3 linked regions of the Canis lupus familiaris genome follow. The protein of the gene in region 1 interacts with the protein of each later gene in a pairwise test. Links are inferred from orthologs where the notes say so. Each region holds a gene or a part of one and is shown in the gene's direction. Other genes may lie near its edges.

What was found.
Region 2: the proteins of ABI3 (region 1) and HOMER1 interact in binary tests that used the Homo sapiens proteins (3 or more experiments, as listed by UniProt). The two-hybrid records come from large-scale screens. The link is inferred for Canis lupus familiaris from reciprocal best matches to the Homo sapiens genes ABI3 and HOMER1.
Region 3: the proteins of ABI3 (region 1) and WAS interact in binary tests that used the Homo sapiens proteins (3 or more experiments, as listed by UniProt). The two-hybrid records come from large-scale screens. The link is inferred for Canis lupus familiaris from reciprocal best matches to the Homo sapiens genes ABI3 and WAS.

The regions. Positions count from the first base shown.
Region 1 is NC_049230.1:25,333,325-25,336,980, forward strand, and holds part of ABI3 (ABI gene family member 3), read left to right. Parts: intron 1-262; coding exon 263-439; intron 440-2,007; coding exon 2,008-2,093; intron 2,094-2,227; coding exon 2,228-2,323; intron 2,324-2,491; coding exon 2,492-2,643; intron 2,644-3,151; coding exon 3,152-3,289; intron 3,290-3,655; coding exon 3,656-3,656. UniProt on the Homo sapiens protein: May inhibit tumor metastasis. In vitro, reduces cell motility.
Region 2 is NC_049224.1:27,623,952-27,627,607, forward strand, and holds part of HOMER1 (homer protein homolog 1), read left to right. Parts: intron 1-1,357; coding exon 1,358-1,468; intron 1,469-2,100; coding exon 2,101-2,181; intron 2,182-3,656. UniProt on the Homo sapiens protein: Postsynaptic density scaffolding protein. Binds and cross-links cytoplasmic regions of GRM1, GRM5, ITPR1, DNM3, RYR1, RYR2, SHANK1 and SHANK3.
Region 3 is NC_049260.1:42,092,918-42,095,429, forward strand, and holds the end of WAS (wiskott-Aldrich syndrome protein), read left to right. Parts: intron 1-104; coding exon 105-219; intron 220-1,583; coding exon 1,584-1,639; 3' UTR 1,640-1,886; downstream 1,887-2,512. UniProt on the Homo sapiens protein: Effector protein for Rho-type GTPases that regulates actin filament reorganization via its interaction with the Arp2/3 complex. Important for efficient actin polymerization. Possible regulator of lymphocyte and platelet function.

The DNA.
Region 1 (3,656 bases):
TATTGGGGGTGCCTGGATGGCTCACTGGTTGAGTGCCTGCCTTTGGCTCTGGCAGGTCCGTTGGTTGTGATCCCAGGGTCCTGGGATGGAGTCCCGCATCTGGCTTCCTGCAGGGAGCCTGCTTCTCCCTCTGCCTGTGTCTCTGCCTTTCTCTGAGTCTCTCATGAATAAATAAAATCTAAAAAAACCCAAGCCAAAACAAAATAAGAGGTGGGGCACTGTATGGAGACTCCTCCTGTCACCTCAAACCCTGTCATGGCAGATGGTGAATATGCATATGGAGAAGGTGGCCCGAAGGGAGATTGGCACCTTAGCAACCGTCCAGCGGCTGCCCCCTGGCCAGAAAGTCATCGCCCCCGACAGCCTCCCTCCCCTCACGCCTTACTACAGGAGACCCCTCAACTTTGGCTGCCTGGATGACATTGGCCATGGGATTAAGGTAGAGAGAGGGCCCCTCCTCTTTTCCACAAACCACTCCCTCAGTTTAGTGGGTTCGCTTCTCCCCAGCCTCCTCCTCATTCTCTTCCACATCCACATTCTTGTTCCATCCAGTCTTATTCCCTGATCTTTCCTCACTGCCTGAAGCCATCACCCTTAGGGGACCCCTCCTCTCCAAGCCTCCCTCCTTAAAAGTCTTTCCTGACCCCTCCCTCCATAACTGGCCTTTACTCTGTCCTCAGATGGTTAGCTGAGGGTGCATCTGAGCACCCCCTTCCACAGGGGCTGGGTGTGTGTGTGAAGGGGAAGAGAGGAAGGGAAGGCGTCAGGGTGTACATGAGAATTGCTCCCCAGCCACATGAGAACAGTAACTTCCTCTGTCTGGAGGTTTGAGGTCAAGGCACTGAGCACTCCCCCCAGAGCTGCTTGCTGTTGGGTGGGAAGGGGTGGGGATGCAGCCACTCAAAAGGGAGGGGCCTGGTGAAGATGGGGAGCATGCCACTAGCATTTCCTTCTCCGCTCATCTCCTGAGAGGTGGGAGAGCACACATCCCTAACCCCATGTAGTCAGTTCCCACATGCCAACATCCCAAGGGAGATTAAAGCTCCCCTGGATCTCAGCGACCCCTTGAAACCCTCAACATACCATAGCATACAGACTATCCTCCCCTCCCTCAGTCACCAGGCTTCCCCACCAGTGAGTTCCCATTGCCCAGCTTCCATTCTTTTGGACTCAGCTCAGTCCCCCTTGTCTTGTGCCTAGCGGAGTATAGCAGAGGACAGCATCCCTCATGTGCCCACACTCAGGGACACCCCGCCAGGGACAGAAGCGCTCTCTCACATGTGGGCTGGCCCTTGCCACTTGTGCATTTTAAATGCTCTGTCCCTCTGTCCTGAGCTTCCCAAAGCCGGGTTCTGCAGGCCAGTCAAAATGACAGGTGGGGGGCACCTGGGTGGCTCAGTGGGTTAAGCGGCTGCCTTCCCCTGGGGTCACGATCCCAAGGTCCTGGGATCCAGCCTGGCATCCAGCTCCCTGCTCAGCGGGGAGCCTGCTTCTCCCTCTCCCTCTGCCTGCTTCTTCCCCTACTTGTGCTCTCTCTCTGCCAAATAGATGAATAAAATCATTTTTTAAAAATGGCAGGGGTATACCTCTAGGTGTGATGGTCCCCTCCCCCCCCCTTCCCGCCAACTCCTCAGCCCCGCCGGGGGTTGCCTGGGGTCTATGAGGATTAGAGCCCACCAAGCTGGCCACTGAGATGCTGTGCGCGCCTGCGAGGTGCGGATGCTAGGCTGTGCAGAGGAAGTGGCCTTCAGACCGCGTCTGCTCCAGGTTTCCGTCGGGCCCGCGGTCGACCAGAGGCCCAGGGCCCAGGCAGCAGCAAGAGGGGGTAGCTGTGTGTGGGGTGGGGTGCGATGTGGGGGGCTGGGAAGTAGAAGTGGGAACTTGGCTGTCCCCGCGCGCTCCCTCCCAGTTCGCGGCCGCCTCTCCCTCATTTCCCTTCTGGGACCAGGGGGCTACTGGGGAGGGGGAGCCCCATAGACGTCAACCCCGCCCCCTGCTCCCCCGCAGGATCTGACAACGCAGTTGTCGCGGACCGGGACTCTTTCGCGAAAGAGCATCAAGGCGCCTGCGACACCCGCCTCCGCCACCCTGGGGTGAGGCCTCGAGATCCCGAAACCCTCCTCCCCCACCCTCAGTGCAGAGGAGCCAAACTTCCTCCTCCCCGCACCTGACCCCGCTGGCCGGAAGCCTTCCTTCCCCACCCTAATCCACCCCTCCCCCACCCCAGGAGGCCGCCGCGGATCCCCGAGCCCGTGCAGCTCCCAGTGGTGCCCGAGGGCAAACTCTCCGCCGCCTCATCTGCCTCTTCCCTGGCCTCTGCAGGGTGAGCCCCACAAGTCCAAGTGGGGGTGTCACGGTGACTACTAGGGTGGAGACGACTCGCAGCACAGGCCTGGGCTGATGACTGAAGGGGCGGGGCCGGTGGGGGGGTAATGCCGAGTTAGGGAAGGGGTCCCCCAACTTAGCCGAGCCCTCTTTCTCTGGTCCTCAGCAGCGCCGAAGGTGTCGGTGGGGGCTCCACGACCAAGGGGCAGGCAGCACCCCCACCCCCACCTCTCCCCGGCATGGCCCCACCCCCGCCACCGGCCCCCGAGGTCTTCCTGCCTCCCCCTCCGCTGGAGGAAGTATCCCTGCCCCCGCCGGGTAAGGAGCTCCGCCCCCTCCTGGCTCCCCTGTGGGGTCTCTGCCTCACGTCCCCCAGGTCTCCCCGCCCATCCGATCCGCCAGCTCAGTGGACGTCCTAGGTAGGGGGTAACAGGAGAGGAAGTGCGCTAATTTAGCGCCTGCTTTACACCAGGCTCTGTGTTCAAGCTCCTCGTCTCTTTTTTCACTTAACTTAAAAACCCTAAGAGGATCTTCACACTCTGATTGCACAGATGCAAGTTGAGGCCGACAGGTTAAATTCAGTGACTTGCCTGTGGTTACCCAGCTGAGTGGCAGAGCCTGAGGACCTTACACCGCTCAACATTTGTGTGTTTACTGAGAACCTACTAGAGGCCTTGTGGTGGGAACCCTGATGGGCCCAGGCTGGAGAAAGATTACATAAATGGGTGGATGCTGGAGCCCGGATTTTGAACAGTGGAGTTTCCTGGGGGCAGTTGGAAGGGGGTTTCCTGTGCCACACCTGCAGGCTTTCTACTTTCCCTCCCAGCACCAGAGCTGCCCCCGCCCCTGGATCTGCCCCCTCCTCTACCCCTGGATGTTGATGAATTGGGGCTGCCACCACTGCCCCCACCAGACTTTGGGCCTGAAGAGCCTAGCTGGGTCCCTGCTGCATACTTGGAGAAAGGTACCTGATTCCTGGGACTAGGGATCCCCTCTCCTCTTCTTTTTTTTTTTTTTTCCCCTCTCCTCTTCTACACTAGAATCTGCAACGGTGTGAATATGAGCCCGTTATACACACACACACCCCTCCCTATTTCCTGATGAACTGACCAAACGTTCATCCAGGAGTGGTGAACCAAGATGGAAAGACAGGCAGCTGGCCTGGCACTGAATACTATTAACCCAGGTGGGGAAGCAGGGGTGGTCCCAAGAGCTTTGGGGAAGGCACCTCCTGCCCTACTCCCTGTAGCCATCCCCCTAGATGTTCCCTGGCATCCCCATGCTAGGGCAGGAGACACATCTCATGGCAACCTCTCCTCCCATCCTGCAGT
Region 2 (3,656 bases), on another chromosome or scaffold:
ATTCTTAGGATGAGGAGACTTGCCTACCTTTAGTTGGAAAAACCACATATTTACATAGTGTGAGTGTCTTGGGTGATGAGGATGGTTAAATTGTTTAGGGCTGGTATATGCAAGACCCGAGGGTTGTAAGAAATGATCCTTTGAATGGCTTTGAATGGAGGAGTTACACAACGATAGATGAATGTTAGTTTACAGGAGAGGTAAAAATAGACAGAAATTATATAATTATGTCCTCTGGTGGTCCATTGCTATAATCTAGGCCTACATGATAAGGGTCTGCACAAGACTATTAGTGCATGAGTAGAAGGGAAGAAAGTGTTAGGAAAGGTAGAGTGACATTTATGGAGGGTTAGTATATATTTGGAAAATGTGAAAGTGGATTTACTGTTTCCCTAATGGTCTAGAACTTACTGCATTCTAGTCAGCCAAAATGTATAAGATCCTAATGCATGTGAAGGGCTGTGATGGGGTATGTGTGTCTGTTTTTATGTTGACTTCTATTTTGACTGTTGGCTCAATAGTGTTTTTGGATGGTATAACTTTTAGGGCTACTGCCCTTTGCTGTTCTCTTAAAGTGCTCATTACAAGTTATGTAGCTCTTTGGGCCCTTAGTACATTCTTATTGACTAAAGAATGTTGTCTTTGGCTACAGAGACACTATTGATGTGAAGTCATTCTAGTATTGAATGATTTAAGTTGTATTTTAAGCGTATCTTTTCTTCCAGATTCTCTTACAATTTGGAAATATATTTAAAAAATTTCTCACTTCTGCAAGGCCAGTTTTCAGAAGCCATGTTTAACTTGAAAGCTACAGATGGAAGGCAGATGGTTATAGCTGATTTTGAATATGTTTTGATAAGAAATTTTTAAAGAAGCCTTTCATAATAGGATTTCTTAACTGTCATTAATCAATTAAGTTTCCTAGCTCTTTCCATGAGCAAGCCATATGAATAATTATTTCCCCTAGTCTTTTTTTTTTGTCCTAAATTCATGTCCTTAAAGAATCTATTCATTCTACCTTAAGTGTCTTAATGTATCTCAAAATTGATTTTTTTAAAAATATTTATTTATTTGTTATTTATGATAGACATAGAGAGAGAGAGAGGCAGAGACACAGGAGGAGGGAGAAGCAGACTCCATGCCAGGAGCCTGACGCGGGACTCGATCCCGGGACTCCAGGATCGCACCCTGGGCCAAAGGCAGGCGTCAAACCACTGAGCCACCCAGGGATCCCCTCAAAATTGATTTTCATGTGTTGTTTCAAATTTATGATTTACCTATCGGGTTTATTATATTTTTGGCAAGAAATCTTTTGACATAGTCGTATAATTTAACTTGTATTTACATTTCATTTCAGGTGACTGAGCTTGAATGTGTTAGTAGCCAAGCTAATGCAGTGCATACTCACAAGACAGAATTAAATCAAACAATACAAGAACTGGAAGAGACGCTGAAAGTGAAGGAAGAGGTATTTGCTACTTTTCACTCATCTGTGTAATCTGGCTAGCATATATGTACAAAATATTTGAATCTCTGTCAGATTTACAGGTACTTGATGGAATAAAATAAGCTTGTGGGATGTTGTGGCGGGGGTGGGGGGAATGAAATTTTTTTTGATTGATATGTGTCCATATCTTCTCCATCCTTGTTTCTGCTGTTAGGAACTATGGTGAGGCAGTCAGCCTGAAGGTTTCTTGCCTTCTGTATGAAAGTTACATTCATAAAATCCAAAGAAAACCGTGAAAGGTTTAAATGAATTTTCCAAACTATTGCTTTCTCTGGTTTCCAGTCATAAGATTTAATATCCCAAGAAAGAATTATATCCACAAAGCTTGAAGCAGCCTTAAAATGTTGTGATTACGGTTTCTAAGCAGTGCTGTACCACAGCCACCAAGTAGACGTATTGCTGAAGATGATCATGTACTAGAAAACATTCCCAAAAAGACAAATTCACCTCTCAAAAAAATCAGCATAAAGGAATGTTTTTAAAAAAATTTTTTTCTAAGAACTTGGACCGTAATTTCAGGGAGAAATAAGACCTTTTCTTTCCTTGATTTAGTTTAAATATTGTTGCTAAAGACATTGCTCTACTTTTTCTAGGAAATAGAAAGATTAAAACAAGAAATTGATAATGCCAGAGAACTACAAGAACAGAGGGATTCTTTGACTCAGAAACTACAGGTGGGTTATAAAAACATTTTTATTTCATTTCTGCATAGAGTGGCATCAATCATTCTTTCACATAGTAATGACTTTCTGAAATTTCATTTTGTAGACTCTCAGTCATTTTTCCAGGAGTTCTGATTTATGTTTAATCTTTGATTCTTCAAAAATTATGATAACTTCATCTAGGTAGCATTTGATCATCATAGATGGTCGTTTATAAATTGTCTTTAGTAAATTATTTTAGAAATGTCTACACTTTAACATAAAAATACCCTGAATTTATTTTTAATTATTTTTTAAGATTTTATTTATTTATTCATGAGAGACACAGAGAGAGAGGCAGAGACATAGGCAGAGAGAGAAGCAGGCTCCCTGCAGGAAGCCCGATGTGACACTCGATCCCGGGACCCCGGGATCACACCCCAAGTCAAAGGAAGACGCCCAACTGCTGAGCCACCCAGGCTTCCCAAAATACCCTGAATTTAAAGAGAATTTCTCAAATGGATCTCATTCAATTGAAGAGTTCTCATTTTTTTTTACACTGAACTAATTAGTATGAATTGCAGAAATAGTTGTGCCCTATTGGAAATTAAATTAGTGCCGTTTTTCTTCCTTTATTCTAATTAATTTTATTCACTTTTTACATAAATAATATGTTTCCTGACTCTAATTTGCATACATATATCCTGTAATAGCAGTTAGGGAAGATTTTTAGAATTCATTTTCAAAGTCTCTTGGTGCTTTAGGCACTTGGCTTACACTCCAGTTCTCTATAAAGAAAGGTTAGGACCACTTTAAAGTTGGGAGTAGGGACTCCTGGGTGGCTCAGTGGTTGAGCGTCTGCCTTCAGCTCAGGGCATGATCCTGGCGTCCTGGGATCAGGTCCCACTCCCTGCATGGAACCTGCTTCTCCCTCTGCCTGTGTCTCTGCCTCTCTCTCTGTGTGTGTCTCTCATGAATAAATGAATAAAATCTTTTAAAAAAATAAAGTTGGTAGTAGAAATAAATATATGTACAGAGTGAGGAATTTTGGAAAAGAGATTTTAAGTGGGACCTGAAAGCTCAGAGATAGAAGGAGTACCTCAATTATAATGAGAATATCTTGTATTGAGTGCTTACTGTATGCCAGACACTGTGCTCAGTACTTTACTTATATTATGCATTTACTTCTTGTAATAGTCATCTGAGGAAACTGAAGCTTGTAAATGTTATTTATCCAGTCTCCGTTTATATAGATAGTCAGAATTCTGCAACAGTAGAGACCCTTCATAAAGGAAATAGGTTCTTTATGTGGCATGAAACATTTCCCTCTCTCCTATCACTGACTTTCAGGAGACTGGGAAAAATAAGGTGGTTTGTTTTGGTTAGCCCTATTAAATGTTGTTCCCACATTTTAATGATCTCTGTAAATTAGTGGTTCTCGAGGGGGAGGAGTTTTGTGCTACAGGGGACTTTTAGGAACGTGCTGAGACAATTTTGATTTTCACAAC
Region 3 (2,512 bases), on another chromosome or scaffold:
AAGGGGACTTGAGAATATGGGAGGGGAAATAATGAGGAAGGGGCAGGGAGGTGTGCTCCTATCATGGGCCCTGAACCCTCTATGCTGGATCCTGCTTGCTCCAGACCCCTGGGGCCCCAGAGAGCTCAGCACTGCAGCCTCCAACTCAGAGCTCAGAAGGGTTGGTGGGAGCCCTGATGCACGTGATGCAGAAGAGAAGCAGAGCCATCCACTCCTCAGGTGAGAGCCTGCCCTTTGCCAGGACAGTGAGCCCAGTTCCTAGGGCTAGTGTTGGCCTAAGAACAACTCTACCGGTTACCATTCATAGTACATTTCTTTTTTTTTTTTTTTTATTTATTTATGATAGTCACAGAGAGAGAGAGAGAGAGAGAGAGAGAGGCAGAGACACAGGCAGAGGGAGAAGCAGGCTCCATGCACCAGGAGCCCGATGTGGGATTCGATCCCGGATCTCCAGGATCGCGCCCTGGGCCAAAGGCAGGCGCCAAACCGCTGCGCCACCCAGGGATCCCCTCATAGTACATTTCTTTTAAAGATTTACTTATTTATTCATGAGAGACACAGAGAGAGGCAGAGACATAGGCAGAGGGAGAAGCCGGCTCCTCGCAGGGAGCCTGATGTGGGACTTGATCCCTGCCCTGATCAGAAGGTAAATGCTCAACCTCTGAGCCACCCAGGTGTCCTGTATCCATAGTAACATTAACCCCATCATGACTCTCACGTTTGTCTTCTTTGTGACAATATTAACACTGTCATTATGGAACAATAATAGAATTCACTCTTTGACAATAACATTAACATTAATGCCAAGGCATGGCCACAATATTAATATTAATCCTGTATGTCCAGTAGTGTATAACATTAGCCCATATGTGATGATATTATAAAGGACCCCACCATAGGCAATAATATTAACTTGAACTCTGTGTCAATAGATGAACATTAGCTTGTAATGTGATAATAATATCATAACCAACCCAATCTATCATAACATTCATCCCCTAATTGTGTCAATAATATTACTATTATATGACAATTAGATGAGGGTAATGTGAACCTCAACAGATTACTGACAGTATTAACATTAATCCCAGAGTAAGCCCACAGATTAATATGAATCCATTATATGACAATATTATAACAAACTTCCTCTTTTGACAGTGATATCAATAACCCATTATAGGTCAACAATATTAACATTAGCCTGTTATGGAACAGCACTATTGTAATGTACTCCACCTTTGCTTATAATACTTAAAATTCACCCCAGTAAATAACAAGCCTGTTAACATTAACCCTTGTGTGGCAGTAACCACATAGTTGGGCAGTAACCCACCTAACTACATTTCTGACAATGGTATTAACTTTGATTCCAACTTCAACCTACACCCTAACTCTCCCTCCTCTGGGTGGGCCCCTTGCTCATCCAACTGCACAGGCCCCCAGATCTGACTTCCTAGCAGGAGATCTCAGCCCCCTGCCCCAGACCCTGAGTCCTGACCTCTCAGACCCCAAGAACATTACATCACCCACGGCCTTTGAACCCTTCTGCCCATCCTGAGTTCCGCTTTTTCTCTCCCTCTCAGACGAAGGGGAGGACCAGGCCGGCGACGAGGATGACGACGATGAATGGGATGACTGAGTCACCTTCTGCACCTGTTCTGAGCCTCCTCCCCCGGCAGCTGCTGCTTGCTGTCCTCCACTCCTGGCCTCCAGGCCCTCAGGTCCCGTTTCTTCCCCACCAACCCTTCCAATGCAGTTATCTCTGACTGGTCCTCAAACATTCACCCTAGCAGTAGCCAGGGCCCCTTTTTATACAGAATTTCTCAGTGCTTCTCACATAATGAGTTTTAAACCAAAATAAAATAACTGTCTTTTTGTTTCTCTAATCTCAAATTGGTTTATATTCCAAATGTGGAAATTTGGGGTCCTTTTCCCCCAAAGTGTCTTTTATTCACCTATCCCATTTCATTTATTTAGCCTTACCTGTGTACATTCACTCATTTGTTCCCTCATTTATTTCTTTGTTTCCTTCTGCCTTTCTTTCCAAAAACATTTGTTGCCCAGCACTACTTTAGGGGTTGGAGCTAAACCAGTGGGAAGAAAACCTAATGAGGCCAACATTCTATTGGAGGAGACAGATACAAAACCAGGAATCAAACAGAAACAACAGATAGTTTCAGATCATGACAAGTGCTGTGATAGGCTGAGGGGGAACAGCTTCAGATGGAAAATTTAGGGAAAGCCACCCGGAGGAGGTGACAGTTGTGAAGAATCTAAAGAGAGAGGAGTCAACCAATAAACCTTTGCGGGGAGGGCATTCCAGGCAGAGGGAACAGCCCGTGCAAAGCCTTGAGGTAGGGAAAGCTTGGAGGTTGAGCATGGTGAATGATCAGGAGTTATTTATTCCTTTACTTACTTATTTAAAAAAAGTCTAATCAACACAATATTAGATCAAGAGAATACTCGATGGTCAGACTTACTCTCCATGTACACAACTCACACACCAGGATCT